Tribolium castaneum: one gene and its partner. The protein of the gene in region 1 purifies or fractionates together with the protein of each later gene. This does not show direct contact. Links are inferred from orthologs where the notes say so. Each region holds a gene or a part of one and is shown on either strand. Other genes may lie near its edges.

Region 1 (3,825 bases):
AAAAATTGCAAAAATAATAAAATTTTTGTCAAATTTTTAGATTTATTGGCTTATATTTTAAGAAATTATAGCCAAATAGTAGATTTTCCGCGAAACAAACGCTCGGAAAATTTAATTTTTTGTAATTTTGGTCTAAAATTATGTTTAAATACTCAGAACTTTAAAAAATAACGTCATTTTTGACCTAATTTTCTGAATTATTGGGTTATTTTGTGAGAAATTTTACGAAATGATTGAGTTTTTGCTGAACAAAAGATTGGAAAAGGTACATTTTTGGTTATTTTTGACCAAATTTGGTGATTTTTTCGTTCTAGTTTAACAAAAACATGCAAAAAATACTTAATTTTTGGCTTTAAAACTTGCTAAAACACCCAGAACTTGCAAAAATAATGACATTTTTGCCCCAATTTTCCGATTTATTTGCTTACTTTGTAAGAAATTTTGCGAAAAATGGACTTTCTACGAATCAAATATTGAAATTTATAGTTATTTTCGACCATATTTGTGGATTTTTTGTTCTAGTTTAACAAAAACATGTAAAAAACTTAATTTTTTTGGCTTAAAAACGTGCTAAAATATTCAAAAATTGCAAAAATAATATAATTTTTGTCAAATTTTTTGATTTATTGGCTTATATTTTAAGAAATTATAGCCAAATGGTGGATTTTCCGCGAAACAAACGCTCGGAAAATTAAATTTTTTGTAATTTTGGTCTAAAATTATGTTTAAATACTCAGAACTTTCAAAAATAACGTCATTTTTGACCAAATTTTGTGAATTATTGGGTTATTTTGTGAGAAATTTTACGAAATGATTGAGTTTTTGCTGAACAAAAGATTGGAAAAGGTACATTTTTGGTTATTTTTGACCAAATTTGGTGATTTTTTCGTTCTAGTTTAACAAAAACATGCAAAAAATACTTAATTTTTGGCTTTAAAACTTGCTAAAACACCCAGAACTTGCAAAAATAATGACATTTTTGCCCCAATTTTCCGATTTATTTGCTTACTTTGTAAGAAATTTTGCAAAAAATGGACTTTCTACGAATCAAATATTGAAATTTATAGTTATTTTCGACCAAATTTGTGGATTTTTTGTTCTAGTTTAACAAAAACATGTAAAAAACTTAATTTTTTTGGCTTAAAAACGTGCTTAAATATTCAAAAATTGCAAAAATAATATAATTTTTGTCAAATTTTTTGATTTATTGGCTTATATTTTAAGAAATTATAGCCAAATAGTGGATTTTCCGCGAAACAAACGCTCGGAAAATTTAATTTTTTGTAATTTTGGTCTAAAATTATGTTTAAATACTCAGAACTTTAAAAAATAACGTCATTTTTGACCTAATTTTCTGAATTATTGGGTTATTTTGTGAGAAATTTTACGAAATGATTGAGTTTTTGCTGAACAAAAGATTGGAAAAGGTACATTTTTGGTTATTTTTGACCAAATTTGGTGATTTTTTCGTTCTAGTTTAACAAAAACATGCAAAAAATACTTAATTTTTGGCTTTAAAACTTGCTAAAACACCCAGAACTTGCAAAAATAATGACATTTTTGCCCCAATTTTCCGATTTATTTGCTTACTTTGTAAGAAATTTTGCGAAAAATGGACTTTCTACGAATCAAATATTGAAATTTATAGTTATTTTCGACCATATTTGTGGATTTTTTGTTCTAGTTTAACAAAAACATGTAAAAAACTTAATTTTTTTGGCTTAAAAACGTGCTAAAATATTCAAAAATTGCAAAAATAATATAATTTTTGTCAAATTTTTTGATTTATTGGCTTATATTTTAAGAAATTATAGCCAAATGGTGGATTTTCCGCGAAACAAACGCTCGGAAAATTAAATTTTTTGTAATTTTGGTCTAAAATTATGTTTAAATACTCAGAACTTTCAAAAATAACGTCATTTTTGACCAAATTTTGTGAATTATTGGGTTATTTTGTGAGAAATTTTACGAAATGATTGAGTTTTTGCTGAACAAAAGATTGGAAAAGGTACATTTTTGGTTATTTTTGACCAAATTTGGTGATTTTTTCGTTCTAGTTTAACAAAAACATGCAAAAAATACTTAATTTTTGGCTTTAAAACTTGCTAAAACACCCAGAACTTGCAAAAATAATGACATTTTTGCCCCAATTTTCCGATTTATTTGCTTACTTTGTAAGAAATTTTGCAAAAAATGGACTTTCTACGAATCAAATATTGAAATTTATAGTTATTTTCGACCAAATTTGTGGATTTTTTGTTCTAGTTTAACAAAAACATGTAAAAAACTTAATTTTTTTGGCTTAAAAACGTGCTTAAATATTCAAAAATTGCAAAAATAATATAATTTTTGTCAAATTTTTTGATTTATTGGCTTATATTTTAAGAAATTATAGCCAAATAGTGGATTTTCCGCGAAACAAACGCTCGGAAAATTTAATTTTTTGTAATTTTGGTCTAAAATTATGTTTAAATACTCAGAACTTTCAAAAATAACGTCATTTTTGACCTAATTTTGTGAATTATTGGCTTACATTTTAAAAAATTTTGCAAAATAATTGAATTTCTTTCCACCACACGCTTGAAAAAGGTGTTTTTTAATTAATTTTATGATTCAGAAAATAAATTCTTTCGTTCTTCATGGAAAAAAATGTGGTTAAAAGCTTTAAAAGGGGAAAAATTAAAAAAAAATCCTCTAGATTTGGCGATTTTTCCTTTATTTTTACGGAAATTTCGCCAACAATTGCCTTTAAAAACATCTTTCAAGGTATTGGCGTGTCGGAAGAACTAATGTGTGGCGCTTGTCACCACATGGTGCTCGAAAAGGACCCATCCAGGTGTACCAACATAACAGTTTTCAATTGCAAGCACGCCTTCCACGAACAATGCCTCCCTGAAAACACCACTCGATGCGGCATCTGCTATCCATCCGATAAATAAAACAACGGTAAGCCAACAAATAACTAAATATATTTCCAAAAATCGTAATCTTCATCATCGTCCACATTGAACGGTCCTTCGAAATATTCACTCTGTGGCAAAAGGGCCGGCGTAAAAGCCAGGAAATACTTGGCTGTGAATTGGAAAACGTCCTCTGGTTTTAATTGGAGGATTGTTTGGACGTAATCTGAGATCATTTCACGCACTTCTGGCTGGTCGTCTAAATAATTAGCGATTTGTTTTTTACTCATCATCTGAAACATTTTTGTGTTTGTGTCTTTTTTTTTCACCCTAACTTTACTTACTTTCGCGTCCAAATAAAGTGAAAGTAACTGGATATCATCCTGTAGCGGTTTTTTCTCCAAAGGTATCTTGTTAAAGGCGCTAAGATCCGTCAGAGGATTCAACTGAAGGATATAATTGCAAAAATACCACTCTTGTTTGAGTATTTTCCCAGTTAAAGTCATTAAAGTGATGCTTTTGTGTTTAATGCCACATTCTTCAATTATCGTGCGATAAATTTTGCACACGTCCACTTTTTTGTTGTTGATCATGCCACTAGATGGACCTTTACATTCCTGGATTTTTTTCACTTATTAATTATTATCGTATTTTTTTTGCAAAGTGTTACGTACGTAAATATTACGGCATAAATTACCATTGATGTACAAGGTCGAGACTTCGAAAAAACCGACAAATTTTGTTAGGGCCAAATAGCGCATCAAGACAAAATTTGCGCCTTCGCAAATTAAATTGTGCGCTTTGTGTGGACTGTAGAATATGTCTTTTCGTTTGTCGTGACGTAAGTAATAGAAATTTTCTTGCGAGCTGACGTATAAAGCTTGTTGGTCGAGTCCGTCGTCCATTTGGACGTACCTGAAAAATT
Region 2 (4,491 bases), about 4.7 Mb from region 1:
GGGGTCATTTGCGAAAAATAAGGGCCCAACGTGGGTTTGTTTTGGATAAACAGCTGACTGTCAATGTGACATTTGGACGCACCAAGTTTAAATTCTTGCGACGAAATGCCGCAAAAAAAAGCAAGTTGTGTTGAAATAATTGTATTGTGAAAGTTATCTGATATTCTACAATCAAACTTTGAGAAAGAAGTCGGTTTAAAACCTTAATTCTAATTAATTGTGGTCAAGGTGTATTGTTGGTTGTATAACATCCTATTCAGATTACAAGAACCGCACATTTTTAAATTCTGACCTTTAGAAAAAAGTGTCGATATTATTTAATTACCAGAGATGCATTTAACATTTAAGGGGGAGAATTTCTCGATTTCCAAGATAAGTGTCCACAAGTCATTTGACGTCACATACTGAAGAAATTTATTACTCATAAGGTGGAAATTTAATTCTTAAATGTGGAAAACGCTTTAGTACGTTTTCTACCCAAAAATAAAAAATCCCAATGCATGTTCTGACTTGAGACCCATTAGCATATAACCAGTTTTATCAAACATTTAAGAAAAAGTTACAAACATTTAAGAAAAAGTTACTAATAAACAATCAGGTTATCAAAAAATAAATAAATACTGTTACAGTATAGGAAAAATTCTTAATGATTGCTTTGGAGCTTTGGATAAAAGTGAAGCAACAATTGTGCCACTGTTGAATTTTTCTAAAGCCTTCGGCGCCTCGGATCACTCACTTTTATGTGCAAAATTATCTTTTTACGGTTTCGACAAAATTTCATTTTTTCTTCATTCATATATGACAAATAGAAAACAAATTGTTACAATAGGCACCGCACAATCAAGAAGGTAAGAATGAAAGAAAGAAAGAAATAAAGAAAGAAAGAAGAAACAAGTAAGAAGAAAGAGGAAAGAAGAAAAAAGAAAGAACGAAAGAAAGAATTTAGGTTTTTTACTATTATGTATAATGTAATTTAAATAAAATCAGATTAATTAGATTAATTAAATTAATGACGCTTTTATAAACCAGTTATATACTTAGGGCCGGTTTATATGTAGAAAGCTTTGTTAAAATTTAATTCGTTGTTAAAAGTTAACAAAACGAATGGACCAACCAAATTTGTTCAATTTGGTCAGGTGATCAGTTATCCTTAATCACGCATTTAATTGCAGATTAACTTAATGACGCTTCTATTAACCGATACTTAACATACACGGTGGAGCAAAAGTAATTATCATGGTTTATTTGTGCCAGTTTGGCTGATTATGTCTTTGATTTATAAATAAGCCCCCGTAGAGGCTTCCAAAAATTGCCGTAGCGCACGGTATTTCACGTGCACATGGCGGGGTATTGGTTAAAGTTTTCAACTAGCAATAATCGCACCTCGGATTTACCTCATCGGTTACGATACTGCCACTGCGCAAAGCTGACAAACTTACCCCCTACCAATTCATTTAAAGCCACGAGGACGGCAAACGTTCATGAATCATAAACCTTAGCGCCATCTCGCACCACTCCTTCGAACATTGCAAAATAAAACAACCCCAAAGGCCCACAATCACCCAAATCCCCAATTTTGTCATCGCCCCAAAATTGTAAATCACCCCATTGTCACCACATGTCACAGTGACAGCTAACCTCAAACAACTGTCACAGTGACAGCTAACCTCGAAAATGTCATCTCATTTACAAGGGGGCCGCGTTGACATATCCCTCATCCAAACGGCGGCCCGTAACAACCTCATCACCCTCCTGGAGAAATGCCCAGGCCCCAAAGCCATCGTTTGGGACAACTCGCTTGCGGGCCCCGTGGGACTCATCGCCCAATACGCAGTCTTGAAGGAACATTCGGTCACTAAAATGTTCCCCCTGCGCCCCACACCACTCCCAGAAACAGACGTAGCCCACGTTATCTTCATAACGCGCCCCAAACTGCACCTAATGGACTTTGTGGGCTACAACGTCCACGCCGACTGCAAGACCAAAACCGGCTCCAAAAAGCAATACCACGTGTTTTTCGTCCCGAAAAAGAGCCTCCTGTGTCTGGAGCGCCTCAAGCATAACGGAGTGTACGGCAGTGTGAGTTTAGTTGAAGAGTTCCGCTGTGAGTTATTCCCGTTTGACTCCGATGTTGTCTCGATGGAAATTTCTGAAGTTTTCCGGTAAGTCCACACGTGGGTGAATATGGGGGCTCACTGTCTTTCCGCAGCGAGTACACGCTTGAAAACGACCCGACTTATTTGTACCAAACGGCACAGGCGATCATTTTTTTGCAAAAATTGTACGGCCCCATTCCGCGCGTGTGGGGCAAAGGCCCGGCCGCGCGCCAGGTGTGGGAGCTGGTGACGCGGCTCCAGCGCGAGAAGAACGCCCCCTTGAAGACGAATCAGACGTCCACCATCGACCAGATCCTGCTGATTGACCGCGGGGTGGACCTGATAACCCCCTTGGCCACGCAACTGACCTACGAGGGGCTCATTGACGAGATTTTCGGCATAAATAACTCGACTGCCCAGTTCCCCATTGACAATTTCTTGAGCAGCGAAGAGCGCACCTCTGAGTCGCTCTCCGAAGACAAGAAACAAATCATCTTGAATTCAGCCGACAAGTTATTTGCCGACATCCGCGATAAGAATTTTAACGCCGTGGGGGCGTTTTTGTCGAAGCAGGCGAAGGCGATCAGTGTGCAGTTGGATAATAGTCAGGAGCGGTCCGTGCAAGAGATGAAGTTATATGTGCAGAAGCTGCCGCAGATTTTGGCCAAGAAGAAGGCTTTGGCGCATCACACGGCCATTGCGGAGTGCATTAAAGAAGTGACTGATGGTTACGAATTTTTGGACACGCTACAAACGGAACAGGAGTTTTTGAATTGCATTGAAGTGGATAAAGCTAGTCCGTATATCGAGGATTTGATCGCACATGCCAAGCCTCTGGTCAAGGTTTTGAGACTGATTTGTTTGCAGTGTATTACCAGCTCGGGGCTCAAGCCCAAAGTGCTGGAGCATTACAAGAGGGAGCTGGTTCAGGTGGGTTTTACAAGTAGGTCATGGTTTATTGAGGGTTGCCAACTTAATTTCAAAATCACAAACCACTTCGATTAATTTTTTTTTAATTTTAACCGGTGTTATACAAAAATTTCAGCCAATATCATCAAAACTACGGATTTTGTAACAAAAATGAGCTCAGATTTGAAATGCTAAGACAATTTTACATCAGATATGTATATTTTTGACCTAATTTTTTGATTATTGTGCACTTCATGATTTTTTAAATGCAGATAAGTAGATAAAAATTTGCCCAAGTTGTTTATTTGAATTATTTGCATAATTTTGACTCGATTGCCGCAAAATTTTGCTCGAAAATAGATAACTAACTAACAAGGTCAATTTATAATTTTTTTTTTCATTTTTGCTAGAATAAAAAAAATTAAATCGACCATATTTTGATATCTCCAAAATTACGAATCTTATAACAAAAGTGAGGACAGATTTGGAATCCTCAAACAATTCTACGTGAAATAGCCATTCTTTTGACTTAAACTTTTGATTATTCTGGTCTTGATGATTTTTTATTAGCAGATAAGCAAATAATCCAGTCATAGCTGGCCATCCGTCAAACTGACACTTCTTATGTCACTCTTTTACAAAGTGTTGCCAACCTAATTTGGATTCCACAAGCCTCTTTACACAAATTAATAAAATTAAATATCTTGTAACAAAAGTGAGGACAGATTTGGAATCCTCAGATAATTTCCCGTCAAAGTGCCATACTTTTAACTTAAACTTTTGATTTTTGTGGTCTCGATGATTTTTTATTACCAGATAAGTAGATAAAAATTTGCCCAAGTTGTTTATGTAAATTATTTGCATACTTTTGACTCGATTGCCTCAAAATTTTGCTCAAAATTAGATAACTAACAAGGTCAATTTATATTTGATTTTTTTTCATTTTTGCTAGAATAAAAAAAAATTAAATCCACCATATTTTGATAATATCTCCTAAATTATGAATTTTATAACAAAAGTGAGGACAGATTTGGAATCCTTTGACAATTCTACGTGAAATAGCCATACTTTTTGATTATTCTGGTCTTGATGATTTTTTATTGGCAGATAATCAGATAATCCAATCATAGCTGGCGATACGTCAAACTGACACTTCTTATGTCACTCTTTAACAAAGTGTTGCCAACCTAATTTGGATTCCACAAGCCTCTACACAAATTAAAGAAAAAAAAATGTGAAACTTTCCAGGTGTATGGCTTACAAGCGCTCCTCGCCATCACAAACCTGGAAAAAGTGGGCCTTTTAAAGGTCCAATCAGGAACCCGACAATACACAGTCCTACGCAAAGCCCTAAGACTCACAATGGAAGACACATCTGAAATAAACCCAACTGACATAAGCTACGTACACAGCGTTTACGCCCCCTTAAGCGTACGCCTAGCCGAACAAGTAACGAAAAACGGGGGCTGGAAACAACTACAAGACG

What was found.
Region 2: the proteins of vacuolar protein sorting-associated protein 41 homolog (region 1) and car purify together in Homo sapiens (affinity purification with mass spectrometry; 5 studies listed by BioGRID and IntAct, counting the BioPlex papers as one, with this or other methods). This does not show direct contact. The link is inferred for Tribolium castaneum from reciprocal best matches to the Homo sapiens genes VPS41 and VPS33A.

The regions. Positions count from the first base shown.
Region 1 is NC_087401.1:16,023,682-16,027,506, forward strand, and holds part of vacuolar protein sorting-associated protein 41 homolog, read left to right. Parts: intron 1-2,766; coding exon 2,767-2,939; 3' UTR 2,940-2,946; intron 2,947-2,947; exon of another isoform or gene 2,948-2,962; coding exon of another isoform or gene 2,963-3,193; intron 3,194-3,244; coding exon of another isoform or gene 3,245-3,517; intron 3,518-3,574; coding exon of another isoform or gene 3,575-3,815; intron 3,816-3,825. Other genes in the region: ciliogenesis-associated TTC17-interacting protein, read right to left, coding at 2,963-3,193, 3,245-3,517, 3,575-3,815. UniProt on the Homo sapiens protein: Plays a role in vesicle-mediated protein trafficking to lysosomal compartments including the endocytic membrane transport and autophagic pathways. Acts as a component of the HOPS endosomal tethering complex.
Region 2 is NC_087401.1:11,290,820-11,295,310, reverse strand, and holds the start of car (vacuolar protein sorting-associated protein 33A), read left to right. Parts: upstream 1-1,469; 5' UTR 1,470-1,674; coding exon 1,675-2,162; intron 2,163-2,209; coding exon 2,210-3,026; intron 3,027-4,253; coding exon 4,254-4,491. Other genes in the region: zinc finger protein Gfi-1b, read right to left, coding at 1-8.